5 linked regions of the Callithrix jacchus genome follow. The protein of the gene in region 3 interacts with the protein of the main gene of each other region in a biochemical or structural test. Links are inferred from orthologs where the notes say so. Each region holds a gene or a part of one and is shown on either strand. Other genes may lie near its edges.

Evidence for each region.
Region 1: the proteins of UBE2D1 (region 3) and LRSAM1 form a complex in vitro, tested with the Homo sapiens proteins (2 studies listed by BioGRID, with this or other methods). The link is inferred for Callithrix jacchus from reciprocal best matches to the Homo sapiens genes UBE2D1 and LRSAM1.
Region 2: the proteins of UBE2D1 (region 3) and UBE3C form a complex in vitro, tested with the Homo sapiens proteins (8 studies listed by BioGRID). The link is inferred for Callithrix jacchus from reciprocal best matches to the Homo sapiens genes UBE2D1 and UBE3C.
Region 4: the proteins of UBE2D1 (region 3) and E3 ubiquitin-protein ligase RNF216 form a complex in vitro, tested with the Homo sapiens proteins (2 studies listed by BioGRID). The link is inferred for Callithrix jacchus from reciprocal best matches to the Homo sapiens genes UBE2D1 and RNF216.
Region 5: the proteins of UBE2D1 (region 3) and SIAH2 form a complex in vitro, tested with the Homo sapiens proteins (3 studies listed by BioGRID). The link is inferred for Callithrix jacchus from reciprocal best matches to the Homo sapiens genes UBE2D1 and SIAH2.

The regions. Positions count from the first base shown.
Region 1 is NC_133502.1:176,111,127-176,116,323, reverse strand, and holds part of LRSAM1 (E3 ubiquitin-protein ligase LRSAM1), read right to left. Parts: intron 4,945-5,197; coding exon 4,870-4,944; intron 3,235-4,869; coding exon 3,154-3,234; intron 1,680-3,153; coding exon 1,584-1,679; intron 1-1,583.
Region 2 is NC_133512.1:91,063,180-91,068,376, forward strand, and holds part of UBE3C (ubiquitin-protein ligase E3C), read right to left. Parts: intron 3,919-5,197; coding exon 3,765-3,918; intron 3,337-3,764; coding exon 3,116-3,336; intron 1,894-3,115; coding exon 1,742-1,893; intron 1-1,741. UniProt on the Homo sapiens protein: E3 ubiquitin-protein ligase that specifically catalyzes 'Lys-29'- and 'Lys-48'-linked polyubiquitin chains.
Region 3 is NC_133513.1:72,138,806-72,143,821, reverse strand, and holds part of UBE2D1 (ubiquitin-conjugating enzyme E2 D1), read left to right. Parts: intron 1-1,136; coding exon 1,137-1,242; intron 1,243-4,253; coding exon 4,254-4,347; intron 4,348-5,016.
Region 4 is NC_133503.1:16,898,160-16,903,356, reverse strand, and holds the end of E3 ubiquitin-protein ligase RNF216, read right to left. Parts: intron 4,892-5,197; coding exon 4,822-4,891; intron 3,881-4,821; coding exon 3,561-3,880; 3' UTR 514-3,560; downstream 1-513.
Region 5 is NC_133518.1:34,521,347-34,525,404, forward strand, and holds the end of SIAH2 (E3 ubiquitin-protein ligase SIAH2), read left to right. Parts: intron 1-1,430; coding exon 1,431-1,988; 3' UTR 1,989-2,993; downstream 2,994-4,058. UniProt on the Homo sapiens protein: E3 ubiquitin-protein ligase that mediates ubiquitination and subsequent proteasomal degradation of target proteins.

The DNA of each region.
Region 1 (5,197 bases), on a different chromosome or scaffold from region 3:
CCCGGGCTGCAGGCCCTCTCTTCTGGCACCCAGGAGCGGACTGGCTGTGTCTTGCTGGGGTGGTGCTTCCTCCCTTGGTGGTGACCCCCAAGGCCTACGAGGGCAGGAGCACCAGCCACAGCACCTGGTTGCCACAGCACAGCACCAGGGCACCATCTGCCCAGTAACCTGATGCATAGGAGATGGCAGCAGGGCACTGTGAGGAATAGACAGCTTTCTCTGATGGGCACAGGCACCACTTGGCTTGTTCAGGACTCCAGAAGAAGCTGGTCTTTCTCTTCTAAACCTATACAGGGGCCAGGTGCGGTGGCTCAAGCCTATAATCCCAGTACTTTGGGAGGCCAGGGTGGGTGAATCACCTGAGGTCAGGAGTTCAAGACCAGCCTGACCAACATGGTGAAATCCTGTCTCTACTAAAAAAAATGCAAAAATTAGCTGGGCATGGTATTGCATGCCTGTGATCCTGTCTACTCGGGAGGCTGAGGGAGGAGAATTGCCTGAACCCAGGGGGCGGAGGTTGCAGTGAGCCAAGATCACGCCATTGCACTCCAGGCTGGACAACAAAAAGCAAACCTTTGTCTTGAGAAAAGAAAAAAAAAACCTGCACAGGGCCAGGTCTAGGAGGCAGCTCAGAGGACGTCTGGTTCATTCACGGTGACTCAGGAATAACTCGATCTTTTCCACCCCAGATGGTGGGCCTGGCCTCTGGTCTTGTTGCTGGGTGCCCCCTGGGTCTAGAGAAGACACTCTCAAGGGGGCCGCTGCCACTCTGAAAGTGTGCCAGCATCAAACTTATTAGGGGACAGGAGACAGCTGGGCCATTCCTACCAAAAGCTTATCAAACAGCCTGTCCTGGACATAGCAAGTCCTGTCCTGGAGTGAATACTCATGGCTGTTCCCAAATACTCAACTACAAAGGAATTCAGAGAGCGTCGCCTGTAAGTTTAAAACCTAGAAGTAATCCACATAACAATAGGGGCCAAGCACAGCCTCGAGAAAGGATGTCAAGGAAGGGTTTAACGGCTTGAAAAGAATGTACGGAAACAGGCTGGTTGTAGAGTACGCACCATGTCCTATTTAAAAGGCAGATACACAAACAGCTATAAAGATGCATCACAATGTTTGGAAAACATGCATCAAAACAGCAGGACAGGCTGGGCACGGTGGCTCATGCCTGTAACCACAGCACTTTCGGAGGCCAAGGCAGATAGATCGCTTGAGCCCAGGAGTTCGAGACCAGCCTGGGCAACATGGCGAAACCCCATCTCTATGAAAAATAAAAAAATTACTCGGGATGCTGAGGTGGGAGGATCGCTTGAGCCCAGGAAGTCAAGAGTGCAGTGAGCCGAGATTGCGCCATTGCACTCCAGCCTGGGCAACAGAGTGAGACCCTGTCTCAAACAAGCAAACCAACAAAAAACAGCAGGAGATAACTCTTGGAACTGCAATTATTTTCCTTTGCACTTTCCAGTTTTTCTTTGATGAACAACTCTTACTTGAATAACAGGTGTTTCTAAAAATGGCCAGTCTGTTAGAGAAAAGCAAACGCATGTGTGATGCTGAGCACAGAAGCCAACACATACCAGAATTTCCCGGAGCTCTTCCTCTCGCTGCTGCTTCTCTTTGAGCAGCTGCTGGAGCAGGTTGCTGAGGGCCCAGCGCTGCTCCGAGACCATCTCCTGCAACACAAGACCACACCCCAAACCACCATGAACTGGCGGCACCTCAGGAGTCCTGCAGTGGCAGGATGGAGAAGGGCTTGGCCTCCCGCTCACTCGGTTCTCTGCCTAACGCCTCCAGGCTGAGCTGGGGGACAAAGCTAAGAGGCCCTTCTGCCCCTCTTCCCCTAAGCCTGCATCTCTCGTCCTTGTGGGGTGAAGTCAGGCATGGGATCCTGGTGATTGATGACAATGGAATGGTAAGAAACATCAAACAAAAGAAACAGCAAGCCACAGGTACCTGCCTTTGGCCTCCCAGACAACAGAGCACATGGGCAGAAGCAAATGGTGGGAACGGGGTAAGGGGCCTCACACAAATGGAGGGGTGTGCAAATCAGAGCCTGGGGTCCTTGTTCCACTCCCGTGCCTGCTCTTGGAAACCCCATGGGGCCCTGACAGGTGTAGCCCTGCTGCTCTTGTGGGCAGGGTCTAGGGTACCTGCCAGGCATGATGGCCACAGCTTCTCTGAGAGCAGCTCCAGTCCCCTCATCTCTGGAGATCATTTCAAAGCTCACAAAGGGCATTCCCTTGCTAACTTAGTCTTCTCCGATGGCCAGATGGCACAGGCTGGACCTGGAGGACAGCTGCCATTTTACGGAGTAGGGGAAGAAGGCCCAGAGGGGCAGAGGCCTGCCTAAGAGTACACAATGCACTTGTGGTACACCTGAGACCAGGTATCCAGACCTCTTACCTCTCACTGCACTGAGGAGTCCATGGGATGACTTGAGACTTCTCTAATGAGGACACAGGGACAGTGACAGACAGAAGGTTCTGCTCAAATGCCTGGCATGGGCACATGTCCTCACACACCACCCCATCCAGCCCTCTATCTGCAGCTGGAGGGGCTAAGGTCCAGAGAGGGCAAAGGGCTGCCCCTCCTCCCCCACCTGCCAAGGTTGTGCAGCAGGGCTGTGCCGAGCCACACCCGGCTCCCAGGTGTCCAGTCCAGGACATCAGCTGCCAGTCCCTGCCACCCTCTTGTCTGTGTGAGCAGGACTGCCAGGCTAAGCAACAGAGACATGGCTGGGCCCTCTCCTCCAGAGATCCCGGGGACACCCAAAAGCTCCAGCCCTGGAGGATGTCTGCCCAGGGGCCTGAAGCATGGCCTACAGAGAGAGACAGAGCTCAGCGAGGGCCCACACCCAGCACAGGAAACAGTGATGGAGATGGAGCGGGAGAGCCTTGGCAATGAAACCCTCCTTCCTCTGACCCTCCTGCCTCACAACAGGCTGACTGCCTCTAACTTCAGCCTGCGCTGGGTCTTCTGGAGCTGGGGGGTGTCCTCTGGTATCACAGCCACAGAAAAACTCTGCCCTCTGTCTGCTGGGGAAGCCCTTGACTCCCAGGGGCTGACAAGCAGCTGCCAGGGGCTGGGAGGGGCATGAGGTGGGGGTCTCAGCATGTGAGGGAGGCAGGGGCAGGGAGCCCTACATACCTGTAGTGTCTCTGTGTCCAGGGACTTCCTCTTTAACTCCAGCTGTGTCAGCTGCAATAACTCAGTTTCTATTAACTTAATCTAAACAGAAGACGAGACAGGAGTTTTTTACTCACATTAACCACGGTTCAGTTTCCTGCTGCTACTCTCTGATGACCAAGTGGGGTCTATGAAGCCTTTCTGGGGAGGCTAGGGAGGCTCTGGAATAGGGACCCTCTAAGCCTGGGAACCTCATCAAGGGGCTTGAACAAGAATTCATTCCTTCATGGCCCTGAGTTCCCGGGGTCATGGACAGGCTTGTCACGGCCAACATTGTTTACCTAGAGCCCAGCACAGGATCTGTCCCAGAGCGGGCACAGAATAAAGACTTGTGCAATGGAGAAGAGGCTTTGCTTGGAGATTCAGGCCAGAGTAAAGCACAGACACAGAACTATCACCCAGCCTCCTGCTGGTCAGGGTCTCTTGTGCCCCTCATCACTGCTGCAGGGGAGAGCAGAGGGTGGTGGAAGTAAGTGACTGAGTAACAATGGTAGTAGTAGATGGTATGTCTTGAGCACCTACTACGTGCTAGGCTTTATGTGCTGTGTACTTTATGTGTAATATTTCATCAATTCTCTGGCTGTTAGGAGGTATTACTGCCTCTATTTTACAGACAAGAAAACCGAGGCTCAGAGAGGTTAAGTCACTTGTCCAAGGACACAGAGCAGGTAAGTGAGAGATCCCATTCTCTGGGATACCCCAGCTCAGGGTTTGGAGAGGAACAGCTGACCTGGTCAAAACCATCTGCAGTGAGAATGTCGGGGGCCTCGAACACTCTCCAGGGTGTGTCTGGTGGATTTCAGCCCTGGGGGGCGTCAGGCCCCACAGCCAGTACTTCCCTATCCTGTTCCTATGACCCTGTGCCCCTCGTCTCTAAGTCCCTATGATATCACCAACCCCCGGTCAGAGGAATGAGCTTCATGTCTGGCAATGTGGAATTGAAATTAAAGAGGGAAACTGAAAAGGTAAATTGGTCCAAAAAGAAAGAACGAAAGAAAGAAAAATAGGGAAAGAAAGAAAAAAAACATGCAAAAAATGTAAAATTCAGTGTGCCGAACATGATGTAGGAGCGTTCCCATAGCCTTAAGCTCACTTCAGCCCCAGCCCCACTCCACAGGCAGTGGCCACCAGGCCACACAGGTGCGCTCGCCCAAGGACACCTCGAAGGTCAGCAGCCACCTGGGGGGGATCTTGTCATGTGAGGGAGGGCCCATAAAGAGGACCTCCTCCTCTTGGGCCGAGGTCACTTTTCAGCAGGAGTCAGGACCACCATGGCTCATGGCCCCACCTGCCCACTTCCAGGGGAAATCCCATATGCCCCAGAGACATATGGGTCTCTGTTGGTCTAAGCTGCAGTAGCGCAGGGGCCTGCACAGGCTGCTTTTCACAGTGTCCTGCCTGGAGCATGGACAGGAGGCGGCCCCAGCAGTCACAGCCACGCTTGCTGGTACGATCCTCACCCAACCCCAGAATAGGAGGCCTCCAGGCACCCACCTAGGATCCCCAACACAAGGCTGGGAACAAAGGGAGGTGCCAAGGGCGAGGCCTCGACCTCTTGCTGGGCTAGCAAGCCAACATGCTGGGGTTCAAACCTCAACTGCTGCGACTTGCTGCCCTGGAGGGATGCCCCACAAGTCTCTGAGAGGGCAGGTCCGGGGCCACAGCCCCAGAGCTCACCTGGCTCCTAATCTGCCGATGCATCAGGTCCTTCTTCACCTGGAGCGCCTCGAATGCAGCCTTCTGCATCGCACTCTGCAACAAAGACCACCGTTCCTCAGCAGGGGCCAGGCCCACACCTTTCCCTACAGGCCCATCCCCGGGAAAAGCAAAAGCTGTGTACCAAGCACCTTAACGTATGGGTTTTGTTTCTGAGAGAGAGAGAGAAGATTCCACCTCACTTGTGTAAACCTTAAAATGATACTAAGGGCTTACTGCGGTGGCCTCTACTTGATGCCCTTCCAGCATCACCCCCTGAATTTCCACCACCATGGACTGTGTGGTGCTT
Region 2 (5,197 bases), on a different chromosome or scaffold from region 3:
GCGGTGTACAATTTTAAAATAAATTATACATGGGTTATAAGTGAACAGATTATACAGAAACATAAAGGCAAAAGAGCTTATCAACGGTGAACTTTGACCCTGGAAAAATCTCATACAATCACATTAGGTTCTGTATGATTGAGTGCTGTGGGAAAGAAAAGGCAACACAGAAACATACACGTAAGAGACCTGGCAAGGAGAGAATGACTTGGAGTGAAACCTACAAGTGCCTGGTTCAAAACTGGGTCTGTAGTTCTCAGCCCAAATGTGACACTACCCAAGGCAAAGGAAGAATGAAGAGAATAAATGAAAAAAGGAAACTGAAGTATAAAGTACAAATTTATGAAGTTATATAATATGCAGACCTTGAAACTCTTATGTATTAAAAAAGAATTAAAGTGTAGTAATATTTTTTACGGTTATAAAGAATTTTAAAAATCAAGCAACTGATCCCACTTCTTAAATGTTCAAAGTGTAAGCAGAAGCAAGAGAGCCTGCAGCCTCCTTCCTGGTTCATGGGTCCTTGTGCTCCGCTTTCGTCGTGTTTGCACACCCACAGCGAGGAAAAGCTCTGTCCTCGTGTTTGCACACCCACAGCTAGGAAAAGCTCTGTCCTCTCTCTCGCTGAAAAAGCCCACAGCCCCATCTTCACATGAATACAAAATACGCTGTGTATAAATACAGGTTTTATTTCACAGATTCTATGGAAGGTAACTATTTTAAAACTTCCTTCTAAAACCAAAAATTTTATCTACATTCCATTACAGAACCCACTCTTTTTTATAACCACACACAAAAATGAAGACTTCTTGGTGTACAGTTTGAACAGACCCAACAGTTCCAGCACCCACTATCCACTACAAAAACGACTCCACCCTTGGTAATCAGTCCGCCTCTCAGCCATAAGCCCTGGCAGTATAATCTGTTCCTTTCTTCATCTTCTCTTATTTTTATTTTTTAAATAAAGCCCTGTGCTTACTTCTCAATCTTCTTACTGCTGTGATCTCTTTTATTTGATGCTAGTGAAGCTTTGTCTAGGAAGCTGCAGCAATGCACTGACACACCCACTTCACAATACTGCAAAAACAGACCTGGAAGCCTGGAGACCCTCTATAGTATATTCTGTGATTACACTTAGCGATCAATATACAACTCCTTAATCAAAAATCATGACTTACGTTAGCCATATCTCAAGCCATTTCAAGTGTTTAAGACCAAAGAAAAGCCACTGGCAGGTATATTAAGTAAAACACAAATTAAGTATGCATGTATATATAATTTTAAAGTTTTTTACTCCTTGAAAATTTACTGTAAACTCATCAGTAAGGAATAAAAGAGGTAAGAACTTGAAAGTAATTTTAAAATAAATCCTAACACATATCCTCCATAAAATCAGCAGAAATTAATGGAAGACATTACTTGGTATTCACAGGATTGGGTAAAAAGGAACTTTTGACCCAACAATTTCATTGCTAGAAAATATATCCTAATAACTAAGATAACATACAGTATAATCCTATTTTGCCTAAAAAAACAAACACGAAACTATGTGCCTCCACTTACACTTCCATAAGCGTACTAAGAAAGCGGTGGAAGAAACTGTTTCTAATCAGGGAAACTGGTAGAGGGGGCTGAAGGGGCTTCTCTGTGGAGGCTGCTTGAGGTTCTGACTGTGTAACTGAAAGGAGGGGTGGACAGAAAGATAGAGGAACAGGCAGGGCTGCCAGTATCTCGGGCTCACCGGGCTCGAGGGCTTGTCGGCCTCTTCACCCTCCTCCTCCGAGTCACTGGCTGAGTCGTGACAGCTGGCGCTGGCAGGAGAGACTGGTAACTGAGAGAGGGAGGTCTGCAGCACCCGCAAATACACCAGCAGCCCTTCCTCAGAGAGGGCCCCTTTGTAAAACAATCAGTTAAAATGTATTTTAGTTAAATGTTATTTTTAAAAATGGAAAACTAAGATGCCATTTTCCCTAATACTCAAAGAGGCATTTCTGACCAGATCTTATTTTAAAATTCTGTGTTATAATAGGAAACATATTTAGATTTAGTCCCCATTCATGTCAGAAAGCACCTACAACTCTTGGCATTTCCCGAAAGAGAAGAGTCTTGTTATTCAAAGCTAGCCCTCTGTGATCACACCTGAGTTTATGCACCGAGGTGACCATTTAGGGGCCTTGGGATGGGGCTTTTCACCAGAGAAACCAAGTGATCAGAGGGCTGGAACTTTCGGCCCCACCCACCAACCTCCAAGGGGCTGCTGGAGGGACACTGGAGATGCAGCACCACAAAACTCAACAGGAGGACACAGTGAGCTGAAGACACGGAGGTGCTGAGGGCGTGGAGTGCCGAGAGAAGGCATGGGAGCACTGCAAACCCGCCTACCTTGGCTTCCCCGAGTTCTGGGAGTTGTCCTAGTAAATTACCAAACCCAAGGCAGGGTTGTAGGAATCCCCATTTTGGCAGGTTGGCCAGAAGTATAGGTGACAACCTACTACTTGTAATTGGCCTGTGAAGTGGGTGTAGTCTTGCAGGACTAAGCCTTCAGATTATGGGATCTGACATCATTTCCAGCTGGACAGCATCAGAATTGAACTTAATTGTATAATACCTAGGTGGTGTCCACCGCAAAACCGCTTGGTGTGTGGGAAAAAAAACACACCCTCATTTCTGGTCACAGAATTTTTCAATGTTGAGTGTGAGAACAAGAAAAAGTTTGTTTTTTCCTGTATTTCTTTCATTAATAATTCATGTGTGCATGTATGTATGTTTTCAACAATACGTCAGGAAGATGTTATCATTCTAGAATAGGCACACTCTAAGTTTACGAAAAGTAGGGAAACAGGCCTGACTCACAGAAGAGCTTTCCCATTTAATTCCGTTCACTCTATTAAAATAATCTGTGCGGCCTTATAAGACATGTATATAAGTCAGTCTTTCCCATTGTATCTGGAAACTCTCCCCAGCAACACTGCCCAGACCACAGCCCTTCAGCAAATACACTCTTCCAAGAGAGGCCCACCTTTCCATGACACCTGCCACTTCACGGCCTTCTCTTGACTCATCTGCTAATGCTACCCATATACATGTTCAGGTAAAAAAGTCTTGTATTTCATACCCAAATAATTTTCGCCAACAGTTAAAACAAAATAGAAAAGCCAGGGTGCTCCACCACTCTTTTTTGAACATCTACCCTCTATTAACAACAGTGCATTCAGAAAGGGCTCGTAAGGGAAAACGGTCTGTGCATCTGCTAACGCCGGAATGATGAAATGAAAAATCTGATCTGTAAAAGGTGCTGCCAGAAACTCCTCTGTGAAGGCTGTAAAAACTTGTTGCCTGAAAAAGAAAAATAGAAGCTTTTTATAATGTCAAAACATACTGTCCATCCAATCACTGATTAAAATAACCTTTCAAAATATCCTTCAAAAAGATAATCTACTCTTCTAAATTGGCCAAATTAATCATTTAATATCAACTCAATCAACCTAAATAAATGTAATGTCTGCTCTATTAAGATAACTGCCATGTTTTCGTTAACTTTCGACAGTTACTAAAAAGTAGGAAAATAACATCACCAGAATCTCAAATCTGTATTAGGCTACAGGCCAGAAAGAAAAAGTACACTCTTCTATTAACTACATCAACACTAATAAAGTAAAAATCTGACTTTCAAGTCTATATTTAAAATCACATCCTATGTTAAAGTTACTGTCAGATATAGATCTTGAGAAATGACAAAATCAATAAATCCATTCCAGCCTCACCTCGCACCTTCCGGACAGGAGTTGTAAGTAAAGTGCAATGGTTTTAGAACATTCTCTAGTAAAATTTTTGCTATAGGAACCCGAGATAAATCAGAATATTCAATACTTGATGGAAGCTTGCTGTTAATCAACAAATAGAGAGACCTATAATACCCTAAAAGGAAAAACACACATTTAAAATTTAGTGCCTTTTCCTATAATAAGGGGAAAAAACTCGTCGATTTTTAAATCATTTTTATAATCTCTACAGGTCCAAACTTAAATTAGTTCTTTAACATGTTAATAAAGAAAATTAAACAAATATACAGACAGCTGAATGGTATATAAACTCTGTGTACCAACAACTGTCACCTAGAGCCAACGTCTCGTTTCACCTATACACCACTTGGAAGCAAGTCTAAGATATGATTATTTTAGTGTATCATTAGGAGACTATTTTTAAAAACATTATCACAGCTAAAATAAATGAAGAGCAGTTCCTTAACATCACAAATATCTAGTCAGTGTTCAAGTCTCCAATTGTCTCATGTTAGAAATTCTATTTAACTAGTTTGCTTTTATCAGGAGCCCAATAAGGCCCAAATACTGTGATCTGATAATTTGTCTCTGATTTGTGTGTTTTTTGAAGATCGTGTTGAACTCATAGAGTTTCATTACACTGTAGTCCTGGTCTCATACTGCTCCACCTGGGGCCCTGAGGAGGGCTTTAGGAGGCTCCTAAGCCTCAGGGTCACTGGTATTCCTCTGCTCTTTGATGGAACAACATGCCCCAGTCTCACCTCCTGCGTCCTGTCATGTAATCAGCCTTTTTCCCAGGAACTCTTAAGCTCCTTTTAGAAGAAATGATATATCTGGAGACCACAATCTGGGCACTGAAGTTAGCTGATTTAAAGGCAACTTAGACGTAAACTGAAACAACTTTGAGAACTCTTAAAATTTCCAGCCTATGTTTTTAATAGGAACTCTGGGTATCAAGAATGATCCAATTCATATATTCTTTTAGAATCATTTACCCTTTTTTATAGGAAAACAACAATGTTCAGGTGTGATTCGTAAGTATCTCATCAGTATACAAGTGCGTATTAAAAACAATCCATCTGCATGGGCCAGTTTTTGAAACCAACCTCCACAGCTTCATATCTCAGTGAAAATCACTGAACAGTATATGCTCAGTACTTTGTCATTACACATACTTTGTAACTACCCCAAGTCTAACCTAGTGTATGCTGATGAGTGAAGCTCACGAAGAAAGCTTGAAAGCTTTTTCACTAGAAAACTAAAAAGATAAAAAAAATACATCAAGACTTTTCTTTAAAGCATTTCCGGTATTGGGACACATTTCAAATAATGTGTATTTCTTAGCCATTTTCCTTACAATTTTAGAAAACAGTACAAATTCTCCTCAAATGCTTAGTCTTAAAACAGTGTGTGTG
Region 3 (5,016 bases):
GATCCTTCTTTCTCCTTTTTTCTTAAGTGTTCAATAAATGTTTACTGAGTACCTACCATGTTCTTCTACATTGGGGAATCCAAAAGTAAATATGAAACAGTCCCTTCATTGAATATGGTAGGAGACAGAAAATCATGTTCATATTAAGTTTAGATTGGCTCTAAAGAGGAAACAAATGACGAGGATATCAGGGAGGGGAAAAATGAGCAGATTCTGTCACTCAGGAAATCATTACTTTAAATAGATAAAAACAACATCTATGATTTGAACTCAGACCTAGAACAAGTAAACTCAGTGAATATTGATAGAATTCTTCACCCAGGTCCACAGAACATACATTTTTCTCAGTATCACATTATACCTATTTTGAAAGTGACAACATAATTGGAAGTAAATCACTCTTCTGCATTTGCATAGCATTTCACAGATTTAAATGAAATACTGGTTGGCTGTTTGTTATTTTCTTCCCTTTTTCCTTCCCGTCTCCACTGTTAAGCACAATTATCGGCATAAAAGAGGTTTTTAATACCTATTTTTAGATTGCATTCCAGCCTGGGCAATAGAGCAAGACTACTGTTCTCTCTCCCCCTTTCTCTTTCTCTTTGTTTCTTTCTAATTAAAAAGAAAAAAAAAAGATTAACATTGTATTTATGAAATGATATGACAACTTTTGTGGAAGATTACGATTCTTGATGGATTTCTTAGCTGAGACCCCTCAACTTTGCCCTGAAATAGCATCAGCACCCTGTTTTTAGATCCAACTATCACTTCCAGATATCGCCAATAATCAAATTAAGAACAGGATTACTTCTAGGTATGATTAAAGCCATGGTTAATTACTTTAGATGCTACTCAACCAGTCATAGCAGCTACTACAGAGTTATTTATTACACTCTCCAAAATACTTTTCAGTTCCTTTCGTGGGGGGGAAGGAAGGAAGCTAACTTATTTGTATTCACATTCTGACTAGCTAGAACTGTGTGTAACACAAAGTAGATGATTCTTTTATTTGTGCTGAAGACTTTTCTCCTCTAAGGTTATGTAAAGTTGAGGATATTTTATCCTAGAGCAGATTGGTTCTGTTTTATTCATAGTTGATGCACAGGTCACATTTTGTTGTTTTGTTTTATGTTTAGATTGCTTTCACAACAAAAATTTACCATCCAAACATAAACAGTAATGGAAGTATTTGTCTCGATATTCTGAGGTCACAATGGTCACCAGCTCTGACTGTATCAAAAGGTAATTTCATTGATCAGATTTAAAACAGTTGATAACAGTGAAACAGTAAAAATACAGCAGAATTACCTATGGAGTAAAGTTTTAAGAAAACAATCAACTGTGCTTTCTTCTGTTTTGATTTTGTTTTGCTCTCTTTGCTCTTACTTACTCTGGCTTTTGGCAGTTAGCTTTGGTTGCAGGGAGTGTGGATGGAGAAATCTAAATGATGAAATGAGAAAAAACTTAAAATAATAGAGCTAGAAATTTGGGAATAAAACCTATTCACATTTTAATACTTTTAGCTTGGATGTTGTCTTTTAAAAAAGAGAGACTACCCAGGCGCTGTGACTCATGGCTGTTATTCTAACACTTTGGAAGACTGAGGTAGGAGAAGTGCTTGAGCCCAAGAGGTCGAGACCAGCCTGGGCAACATAGCAAGACTGTGTCTCTACAAAAAAAAGAGAGAGATAATAAGAGATAGTAAAAGGAAGATTTTGGGACTAGCTGTCCCATTTATTAAATGGAAGTGTTGACAATAATAAAGCTTTACAGCTGTTTTACTTCATTGACAAAAAAAAATACCAGATTTGATTGATAAATGATTCAAAATGCTAGACATTTCACACTGTAGGATAATGCAGTACATACAGCATGTTAGTCTAAACTTTGAATAATCAGTAGCATCATTATAGTGACTGACACATGATCTGTGGTGATTCTCAACTTTATTGGATGTATACATAGGCCATCTGAAGCCATTTTATTTTATTAGCCAATACTACTTACTGTACTAGCACTCTTAATTTATGTCTTATTTCTCTAAAAGAAGAGAACCTAAAAATTGGAAAATATTATTTAGGTTAGAAGCAGCTGCACTGAAGTAACCATCAAGTTTTCTGTTTTTATAAAATTGAAGAAAATGTTTCTCTTGAAGGGATTTATGAAAGCAATCTGTTCTCATTTTTTATTTTTAATAATTGCTGCTTGAATATACAACATGTTTTTAAAAGTAATAAGGTTTATAGGAAGCAGAGTCCACAGCCATAGCTTTTTCAAGTATTAGATAAATAATAGCTCTTTCAGTTCAATTATTTATGAATGGTAGTTTTTCTGACCTAAGATGCTCATCTGCAATATTCATATAGATTCTCATATTCTTTTAAGAATCTTTCACACAGTGTTTCTGTCATGCATTAGATATATGAAAGATTCTGTGTTGAAGAGTAATTCAAGTTCATATGCTCTTTCCTGGAATGATGTCACAAAATGAATCTCATTTGGCATAAACAGCTAAGTCCTTATACATAGAAAAGAAATGGCAGACTGCCGGATGCTGAGTACTTATCTTCTGACATTGGTAGCTTTTTATAAAAAATCAGTAGTGTTAGATTCCAGAAACCATCCTTTGAGAAATGAACCAGCCTCAGCTTCCTTATAAGTAAAATGGGGAGTATTATAGTATTACCATATAGGGTTGCTATGTTCCTAGCACATAATGGGCACTTACATGAATGTTAACTGTTACCCTTTTCCTTACCTTAAAGGATAGACATGGTTTGTGTGCATGATAGTAAAATTCAGGCAAATGGCTCCTGGCAGTAGGAGTGGGCAGAGGAAGAACTTCCTTCTTGCTTATTTTTTATAAGATAGATTGTACCTTGCTCATTTTTTTACTTTTCTATATTTATTTTTTTAATTTTTAATTTTTTTATCTTAAATTTTTTCTTTGAATTAAATATAGACAGAGTCTTGCTGTGTTGACCAGGCTGGTCTCAAACTCCTGGCCTCAAGTGATCCTCCTGCCTTGGTCTCCCAAAGTGCTGGGATCATAGATGTGAGTCACCTTGCCCAGCTTATTTTTTAAATTTTTTTTATTTTTGAGATGGGGTTGCTGTGTTGCCCAGGATGATCTTGAACTCCTAAGGTCAACGATTCTTCTGCCTCAGCCTCCCAAGTAGCTGGCATTATAGGTGTATGCCACCATGCCTGGAGCTTTTCCATATTTTAAATGACTTCTTTTGCTTTTTATCATGAGGTTAGTCTGAAAGCATTCTGGGGCTGTAAGTCAGCCTGGAAAATCTACCCTGTTGGTTTAATATACAAGGCTTGAAGTTTCATTGGGCAGATAGAAGATAAGAAAGATGCATAAAATACTAATTTTTTCTTTAGTTCATAATACCCCCCATTTGCCTGTCATATAAGTCAGCTCTGCTCTATAAATCCACCTTTGGATTTGAAAGAGTAGGAAAATAGAAAGGAAACACAATGAGGTTGGGGCAAGTGGATATGGGAGGTTGGTCCAGACGTTCCCTGAAACTCCTCAGAAGTGGTGGCATGCAATTGAAGCAGACAAATGAGGAACCACAGTCCTTGTTCCCTCTTATTTCAGATACTTAGATCTTAGATTGTCTTTTTTTTTTTTTTTTTTTTTTTTAGCGTAGCTATTTGCATTAGGATTTTGACATACTGGAGTAACAACTACTTTTTCAATTTTCATTTCTATTTTAAAATATGCAAGTTATATGAAGGTAGCTGTTCACATTATTTTTAAATGCATACAACATGAATAAAGTACATGAAGTAAAGATTCACTGAAAAAATTTTTACAAATTTTTCTTCTTTGTAGACAGACTATAGCTCTAAGCCAAAGTAAAAGAGTGTCTGAGCACAGTATCCAAATGGTATATGGACTGTTAAGTGTAATTTGATTGTTCTGTAGAGAACTCTCAAGTTTAAAGGTTGTTAATAGCTACTTTGGAGGGTCACTTTTTTAAGTAAATAGAAACTCAAATAGAATTTAAAACTTCAAAAGCTAAAGTAATTTCATATTTTACCCATCTTAGGGTAATTTTATAACTTTAAAAATTAAAGATCATTTGCTATCAACCAAAATAGAATAAAATATAATTTCATATGTTCATTTCTTTTGTTTTTCTAATAAATTTAGTATCTGTATTCACTAAAATCATTTTCACATGTGTAATTATATGAACTAGATTATTGTCTAATATGATGTTCTTTTTTAAATCTAGTTTTATTGTCCATATGTTCTCTACTTTGTGATCCTAATCCAGATGACCCCTTAGTACCAGATATTGCACAAATCTATAAATCAGACAAAGAAAAGTAAGTGTTAACTTATCTTAGTTTCTGTATGGATACATTCCTATATAGTATGCTAAAACATGAATATTGTCAATGTATTTTAAGTACAGCTTGTTGTGCATATATTGTTTTATCTTTTTCCAGTGGAGTAAACCCTTCTTTTAGAACTCAGTTTGTCCTTTTACAATAAATCCTGTTTCTTCCCACTTCCTGTTCAATAGTATATAGTCTGTATTTGAAAAATAAATATATATATATATATTCTAGGTGGTAAATTAAAAATGAAATAATTTAATCATTGGAAAGTATTAAATACTGTATTGCCTATCTTCTCCCAGGAAGATGAGTTCTCTCTATGCCCATCCTAATTCTATGCCCACTGACCTAATTCTCAAGCTGCTTCAGCTTGCCTGTACTGTAGGTTTATTTGCAATTTGTAGATAATGCTTCTTCAGGGTTGGCTTTGTACATTTCTATTAAAAGTTGGTTTCTGCATTTTCTTTTTCATATACTTGGATACATTTTCATACAGATTGCAGAGAAATCCATTAGTTGAAAAATTGTCCTTCCCGTTTTATTTCTGCATGAACCTAAGTCCCATTGACCCAATAATTGATGTATGTGTGATTATTGCAATTAAGTATAAAAGGAATATATAGTTTTATATAGACAGATGCTTCTAAAATATTA
Region 4 (5,197 bases), on a different chromosome or scaffold from region 3:
CCAGAGGGGAAGACGCTGTACAACCAGTGAGGGTAGTAGGGCCCTGGCACTGCAGCCTCCCATCATGCAGGGCAGGGACTCAAATGCCACGGCCTCTCAGCCTAGGCATTTCCTGTCCTTGGAACCTTGTCCACTCCTCAGCTGGGTGAGGCTTCTCCTGGTTTATCTGACCTTTAGATGGACAGAGACTGGGGAAGGGGCCGGCAAGAGAAATTGACCACACCTTTTTTGAAGGGGATTCTGTGCCCAAAACAAACAAATAGACCCTTTGTGTCCAATCTGGGCCTTGGTAGCTGCCCTAGCGCGATCTGCCTAGCAGATCACCTGATCTTCCTCCCTGGCAGGGGAGGGGCAGGGGCTCTTACTACACATTGGTGTGCCTTCCGGGCCTGCTCCTGCCGAGACACAGTTGGGGAGGTACGGATGCTGGTTTAGATTGATCACTTGGACTAATCTGCCAGCTGCCCTTGTAACTTGCCAGGCAGCAGTGGGGAGACATGAAGCCAGAGGGAGCAGAGTGCACAAACATTTATTTACAAAAAGTCCCAGTTACATATGATACAGGCTTTTTACACACAGTAGTATGAACAAATTATTTTATCTATTTTTACTGCCAGAAGGTAAAGAAAAAGGTTTAACTACTTAATCATTTTTCTATTTTTATACAAAGTGACAGATCATGCACAATTTTTTCAGTTTTTAAATATTTTGCTAAGTGCAAATACTAGATTCCTCTCTCCAGTTTTAAGGCAAGTAAGAAGGGGCTTTGGCTGGGGAGCCTTGCGCCCTGGGGCAAGCCCTGCAGGGCAGAGAGGAGGTGCCCCAGCTGCCTCAGGGTTGCCTGTGGTCTGACCTCTGGGCACTGGAATGGACCTTGCTGGCTGATCAGAAGTCCCCCAGTGCTTCTCTCCCCGGCCCTATCATTGGTGCAGGCAGGAGCCTGAGGTCTAAGGTGGGTGCTCATGGCAGCCCTGCAACCCCCTGTGCCTGGCTTGGGGAGAATCCTCAGGAATCAGGGCCCTACAAGGAAAAAGGCAGCAACTCCTTCAATACCAGCACAGTGTGACCAGAAACAGCTGGAGCTCTTCTAAAAAGAGATGCCCTGGGATTTGGCCTTAGGAGAAACATCACTCTGGGCTCCCTGTTCCCTGCCAGGGTTGGGGCCAGCACCTGTCTGGGGCTGTTCCTGCAGCTGCTGCCTGCTCCCTTTGTCCTGCCTGGGCCACTTGCTGGGGCCACATGCCTGGTGTGCAGGACAGAAGGAGCTGAAGCTCCTGGGGCCTGAGGTCACCTACGCTTCAGCTAGGATGTCTGCAGCCTCCCTCTGCTCCCAGAGACCCTCCCAGGGGCAAGCACAGGGAGCACGTTTAAGATACTGAAGACAATCCTGCTGCAGCTTTGTGGAGCCCGCCTTTCCAAGGCACTGTCATTCAGGCTAGTAGCAAAGTTGGGGTAGCCCAACAGGTAGGGGAGCCGGCAAGGACATAGCATTAGGCTGCCCCCCAAGTCTGGCATCCCAGCGCACGCTTACCCCATGCCCAGGTGATCAGCTGTCTTCAAAGCCTCCATCTTGGGAAAAGGCAGAAAGAATGAGTATCTTAGATCTTCTTTGAAACAGAGTTTCGCTCTCGTCACCCAGGCTGGAGTGCAATGGCGAGATCTCAGCTCACTGCAACCTCCACCTTCTGGGTTCAAGGGATTCTCCTGCCCCAGACTCCTAAGTAGCTGGGATTATAGGCATGCGCTACCACGCCCGGCTACTTTTGTATTTTTAGTAGAGACAGGGTTTCACCATGTTTGGTCAGGCTGGTCTCAAACTCCCTATCTCAGGTGATCCGCCCTCCTCGGCCTCCCAAAGTGCTGGGATTACAGGCATGAGCCACCAAGCCTGGCCATCTTAGATCTTTTTAAATCCACTTTAGTACTTGAAATACATCTGAGAAGCCAATGACAGTGAATGATGATGCCCTCCAGACCTTGGGTGTGGCAGCCCTGCTGTAGGACGATGGAGGGCTGCTCCAGAGGCTGAAGCAGCCCCACCCTAATGGCTGTCGGGGTCAGCCCTGTCTGAGGTCTGTGAACTCCAAACCTCTCGGAACCCCATGGCAACACAAGAATATGGTAGACCAAGAAGAGAAGGAGATAGTGACACCTGTGGCCAGGAAAGCTTCAGGTCTCTTATCTGCCAATGGGCCAGACTGATGCCTCAGGCACAGCTAGAAACCCGGGGCTGGACAGGAGGCAAGAATGAGTAGGGACATGGCAGGGCTGAGCTGATGCTCAGCTGACTGCATGAGAAGGGAAGTGGCCCTCATATGGGGGGTACCAGACAGCACCGTCTACCTGCCTTCACTAAGCACTTGAGAACACACAGGGGCTCATGCCAGGCAGGGGTGGCACCCAGGGTCACCTGTCCCCCTAAAAAGGCCCACTCCTCCCCCAGAAAACCATAGGGGAAAAGCTGCTCATCACCCAGGGTGGCAGAAATGTCTTCCCCAGCAGTTGGGCTGCCTGGCAGGACCACCAGGTCTCTGTCCCAGCTACCCCAAGAGGATCTTTTGATGCGCCAGCTTCAGAACCATCCAGCATGCTGCAATGGACTAGCTTGGGTAAGGATTTCTCAGCCTGACTTTCCAGAGACTGAGGAAGAGAAACTTAGATAGCAATAGAACAAAACCCATGGCACAAGATGGGTTTGTTGCTGCCTGATCTGAGTAGGCTATATGAAGAGAGAGGAGAGGTACCCTCAATGCTCACTGTAGTGGCGCATGGGCTCTGGATAGGGGGAAGCATCTTGGCCCTTATGGCTGTGGCAGTGCCTCTGTAGGCCATGGTGCCAGCCCCCACCCTGAGCAATGCTTCCCAGGCCCGTGGGCACAGCTCCTTCTGCCCAACCTGGAGCCCCTATGAGGACCTCCAGGGAAATGGCTCCTTGGAGCTGCCTTACTCCCCAGGGGTTGGCTCCAAGGAGAGGCCCAGGTGTGAGCAGCAGGGGCACTGCAGCCTGCCCTGGCCTATACCATGGATAAAGGGATAAGGCAGAAGGGCCGCCCCTGGTGGCCTCGGGGGAAAGGAGGGGCAGTTCACATCACAGTTCTCTATGAACTCCACCATTTTCATCTTTATTATGGATCTGTCTGTGCTATATAAGGAAGGCTCATGTGGTTTTAATTCTGAGAGGTTTTTTCCCTGGTGTTTGCTAGGGGAAAAAGTGAATGGAGGCAAAATATTTCCTCTTGGTCTCTTTCTGCAGGGACTGGAGTGACACAGCAGCCAGGGCCACCGGCAGAACTCTTCAAAGAAGGGCTTCGAGGCCCTTTTGACTCTGCCGAGTGGGAGCCAGACCTATCCCATGCAGGCCCCCCCAGAGGGCCACCAGCTGTGGTCACTCTTCCAGGAGCAGTGGCCCTTCTAGGAAAGGTGGGAAGAAAACCAGCCTACCCTTCAACCTGACTTAGGAAGCAATGGCACAGCCACCAGCCTTGGGGGAGGGGAGTGTTCTCCATCCCACACCCCCACCCCAAATGGGCTCTGTGCTGCTCAGTGGGGGTTCCGGGCCATTAGAAGCGATGCCGTGGCTGGGGGCCAAAGTGCATGGGCAGGTTGTGTTCCAGGGGCATGTGGACGGGACCAAAGTCATAGTTGACCCGCACATTGGGCAGCGGGGGCACGTATGGGGCTGGGATGGGTCCCATGTTGAGTGGGAAATTGTTGAACACGGGCCGCACGGGCGGCAGGGGGAAGGGTGGGTGCACAAAGGCATAGGGTGGCATCTGTGGCTGCGGCAGGTTCTGTGGGACAGGCCTCGGGAGGACCTCCACCCTCTGTACCTTCTCCATGGGCTTCTCCAGTGGAGGTCCGATTCGTTTGAAGGTGTTCTCTGAAAGGGAGGTGCGGTTTAGTGGAAAAAACAGATTAAACATACCTCGCTGGAATCTGAATCTAGCTTGGGACTAGGCTAGTGACCTCTGGACACAGGAGGGGCTCCACAGGCTGATTAAAGCACAAAACATGGACACCTCCCCAACAACACTATTAGAAATCAAGGACAAATCTGAATTTTCCCTCAGTGTCTTGCTCTACAGTGGCACCGTGGGAGGTGGCATGTCCACCCACCCAGCCCAGCCCAGTAAGGCATCCTTCAAGAGCCAGGGCCTTGAGGGGCTACCTCTGTGACTCAGTTACATTCTTTTTGTTTTGTTTTGTTTTTGAGACAAGAGTCTCACTCTGTTGCCCAGGATGGACTGCAGTGGTGCTATCTTGGCTCACTGTCACCTCCCCATCCCGGGTTCAAGTGATTCTCTTGCCTCAGTCTCCCGAGTAGCTGGGAGTATAGGCGTGTACCACCATGCCTGGCTAATTTTTGTACTTTTTTTTTGAGACAGAGTTTCGCTGTTGTTACCCAGACTGGAGTGCAATGGCACAATCTCGGCTCACTGCAACCTCCGCCTCCTGGGTTCAAGCAATTCTCCTGCCTCAGCCTCCCGAGTAGCTGGGACTACAGGCACGCACCACCATGCCCAGCTAATTTTTGTATTTTTAGTACAGACAGGGTTTCACCATATTGGCCAGGCTAGTCTCGAACTCCTGCCCTCGTGATTCACCCGCCTTGGCCTCCCAAAGTGCTGTGATTACAGGCATAAGCCACTGCACCCAGCTATACTCTTTAAAAAAAAAAAACAAAACAGCCAGGTGTGGTGGCTCAAGCCCTGCAGCTCAGCACTGCCAAGGGAGCAAAGGACCCCAGGTCATGCAGGCTCCTTGATGGCAAGCCAGGTATGGCTGCTGCTCTGTCCTGGGAGCCTGGGGAAGGGCACTTGCCTCCATTCTTTCTTTTCTGTTCTTCTTCAGCTTCCTTCTGGATTTCCTCAATAAGCTTCTCATCATCTTCCTAAAATGCAAGCAACAAGAAGGATGAGCCTGTAGCTCCACATAGTGCCGAGACCGCGTGGGACAGAGGGGAGACCGCCTGCTGCTGGTGGCCATGGAAAAAGCCTGTTGTTGGCCAGTGGAGCCTGAGCTGTACACCATTTCTTCCCATTTCCCTGAGTGCCTCCTTCCTTCATCAGCCTGATGGTGTTCCATAAGGAAGCCATCCACAAGGCTGGGCAGAGGGGTCTGAGCATGGCAGGCAGCTGCCTGGTGGGGTGAAGGGTGGAGGGTCCCCATGTACTAGGTGGAGAAGGGTTTGGAGAGG
Region 5 (4,058 bases), on a different chromosome or scaffold from region 3:
GGCGCACAGTGCATAGTATCTATCTGCTTGTTGCTAGTGATAAATGCATCTATAAAGGTTCGAATTTGACTGACTACAAGTTTAAAAGGGGGGTTATTCCATAAAGCGGGGAAGAACAAAGCAAAAACAGCGGTGGCGGTTTTTTATAAAAGCAACTGGCCATAGCATCTTAAAAAAATGACCTGGCCCTGCCCTTATTTGGTGCCTTCCTGTCTTGGTGGAGCAGGGGAATCCAAGTGTGGTAAGTCAGACAGTTCCCCTGCCACTCTCTGCTCCAGGGGTATAAGGCTGACATCTAGTTTCACCTGAAAAGGTGATTCAGGTTCCTTAATTCTTTACAGAACAACAGCTTAGTGTCAGGGCAGGTGTCTACTTGTGAGCTGATTCTCCATCTGGTATCTAGGAATTAACAACTTCATCTTGTGAGAGTCAGGAGAAGTCCAATTCCTGTTGGTGTGGTCTTTTGCCACATCCATTAGGAATGTCATCCCAAGTGCAAGGGAGAAAAAAGTTTTGTTCTCCTACCTTATTAAGGCAGTGTCTGAGGGGCAGACTGATCATATCAGCAAACTCATCTAATTCTGCTTCCTCCCGGGCCTGTCGTGAGGACCTGACATACCTGGCCATGAAGCATGTGCACTTGAACTTGAGGAAGTGGTGGGGGTCAGCAAGCTTTGAGAGGAAGGTTAGGCCCTTCTCATTTTAACCTCCTCTGGCCAGAACCAGACTAACTGGCAGTCTTCGTAGTTAAGTAGCTCTTAGATGTGATTTCCTTCCACCCAGAAAATACGGGCAAAGACCTCCCAGAGGGAAGGTCAAAAGGTTACAGTGGGGTAATATTTCTATAAGTATGAAGGGGTCTCCAGGCCTTCGCTACCCTAGCCTGCAGTAAAGAGCAAGAACCGAAGGGCAGCCTTCCCCATGGCCAGGCTGCCAGCCCCCAGTTTGAGCCAGGAAACAGTGGAGAGGGACAACAGAATTATAGTTTTCACTGTCGTCTTTGTGCAAAAACTAATTTGGAGATAATATAATATTCCTTGCCCAACCCCATCCCCAGCCCCAAGCAATTGAATTCTTTAAAAAACAGCTTCACAGAAAATATGGGGAAGGCCAGATTTTACAGGACTTGCTCAACAATTTTGAGATGCGCGACGTAAAAGAATTTAGTTCTTGTCCTTTTGACAGTAGAACAGGGTCATGGAAAACAGCCTACTTCTGGTTCAGGAAATACCTTTGATTTTATGCATGACAACACTAATGATGAAGAGAGACTGAGACCTTTAATCTTGAATATTTCACTTGTTTTGAGCAAAAGTAGTTAGGAACACAGTTTAAGCCCAGGAAAACAGAGTAGTTAAGTACTTATAGAGGGTTGCACCAACAGAAGTTTTGAGAAGGCCCCATGGCTCAATGCATTTCTTTTTCCGCAGTATGCCACCACGGGCTGTTCCCTAACCCTGCACCATACAGAGAAGCCAGAACACGAAGACATCTGTGAATACCGTCCCTACTCCTGCCCTTGTCCTGGCGCTTCCTGCAAGTGGCAGGGGTCCCTGGAAGCTGTGATGTCCCATCTCATGCACGCCCACAAGAGCATTACCACCCTTCAGGGAGAAGACATCGTCTTTCTAGCTACAGACATTAACTTGCCAGGGGCTGTCGACTGGGTGATGATGCAGTCATGTTTCGGCCATCATTTCATGCTGGTGCTGGAGAAACAAGAGAAGTACGAAGGCCACCAGCAGTTTTTTGCCATCGTCTTGCTCATTGGCACCCGCAAGCAAGCCGAGAACTTTGCCTACAGACTGGAGTTGAACGGGAACCGGCGGAGACTGACCTGGGAGGCCACACCCCGGTCCATTCACGATGGTGTGGCTGCGGCCATCATGAACAGTGACTGCCTGGTTTTCGACACAGCCATAGCACATCTTTTTGCAGATAATGGGAACCTTGGAATCAACGTGACTATTTCTACTTGTTGTCCATGATGTGGCTTTCGTAACCCATCCAAATTATGTGAGCATAGTGCTCTATGTTTAATAAAGGTTTTTATAAAGGTTTTATTCCATATGTCTTCACAAGTCAGGACCAACAGTTACCTGTGTTTTGTTTGAACAGCAGTTTCCCATCTGGCATTGACCCCACAAAGTTCATTAACCTGGGATGAATGGGGTTGGCCTGTTGGTGATTTAGAGGCTGTTCTGTGATCTAAAACAACTCTCTTATTAAATTTTATGTACATCCTAAACAACATTTGACAGGCTGTTGCACAGGGCTTCTGTAGATCAGTGTGTTAGGAATGGGAGGCCCCTTCCTGCCTGCCTTCCCATATTGGTCCCTTGTCATTGACAAAAGCACAGTGACTGTCAGCAGATTCCTTTACTTTTGTTTGTGGGAGGTAGGAATTGTTTTAATGCATTTTAAACAGTATTTCTCAAACTGGATGGCTAATAGACATCGAATCACCCGGAGTGCTTATCTTAAAATTGCAGATTTAGGGAGCCTGCCAATTTAACAGTCTCATCTGGTGATTCTTTTCAACAGCAATGTTTGAAAATTACTGGGCTAAATTGTGGGAAAGGGTCCAGATTTTAAAGGTGCTTTAAGATTGCCCTCTGCCGATACTGTTTGTCTTTCTACTGTTTCATTCCCTAACCTCCCCTGACCCTCAAATTAAAACTAGAACTACAGATCCACATGAACACACGCCTGAGATCTGGTCACTCACTTGTGTTTTGGGTGGATTGCCTAGAAAGCAAGTCATATGGCCATTAGTTCTCATGTAATTAGTTTTGCTCACCACTAGAACAGGGGACTCGTTTACACATGGCTTCCCTCAGAAGCCCTACTTGATAGTAGCTGGTGTGAAAGACTAGATCAGTAGATTGGAAAAGCTTTATAACCGGTGTGTCATATGCTTGCTATTTAAAGGTGTGTGTTGGTTTTGTTTTTCTGCCACATTCACTAGTTTTTTAATAAATATTTTCCAAAAATGGATGTTGTGCTTTATTTCCCTAATTGAATAATGGGTATTTATTGAGCATCAATTGTGTGCAAGTGCAATGAACCTTTACCACTGCATCTGGGGTTGGAACTTTCACTGTTTTCACTGAGGAAACAGTCATTGGGCCAAGGTCATGACATGGGTCCATGACAGCACTGGGGTCCAGGCTCACACATCTGAACCACTGACTGTCGGTGGTACAGGTCTCCTCCCAGGGCTGTCATTTCTGTCTGACAGTGTTAGCAGCTGCGCAAGAAGAGGATTGCTCCTGCTTTACCGAGTGAGAAGGAAGACACTTGGCCAGTGCTGACATCCAGAGTGCTGGGGTTGATCCAAGGTGACCCACTCCCTCAGTCCCAACCATATACTCCCAAAAGAATTCAGAGATTAGTGCCAAATGCTTAGTGAGGATTGATGACTGCTTACCTCAGCGTCCCAATTTCTTTTCTTTTCTTCTCTCTTTTTTTTTTTTTAAAGACAGAGATTGGAGTGCAATGGTGTGATCTCAGCTTACTGTAACCTTGCCTCTGGATTCAAATGATTTTCCTGCCTCAGCCTCCCAAGTAACTGGGACTACAGGCCCATGCCACCACACCCAGCTAATTTTTGTATTTGTAGTAGAGATGAGGTTTTACCATACTGGCCAGACTGGTCTCAAACTCCTGACCTCAAGTGATCCACCTGCCTCAGCCTCCCAAAGTGCTGGGATTAAGGCGTGAGCCACCACGCCCAGCCTCAGTGTCCCAATTTCATTAGCATACTACCAAGTGGAGGTGATGGCTTTGGAGTTGATTTTGTTTTTTAAGTGAAATACAGTGTTGAGTTTTTAGCCGGCATAGGGTTCTGGCATTTCAGGAATTGCTAAAGTAACCTCTTCTAGGATGTTCTTCAAATAAAAGTGAAAAACGGTTGCCTGCACAAAAGTAGGAGTTTACAACTTTTGTGGTGAATGAATGAAAACCGTAACTCTTATCACTAAGAAAGTCATATTTCGGCCCGGCGCGGTGGCTCACGCCTATAATCCCAGCAGTTTGGGAGGCCAAGGCGGGTGGAT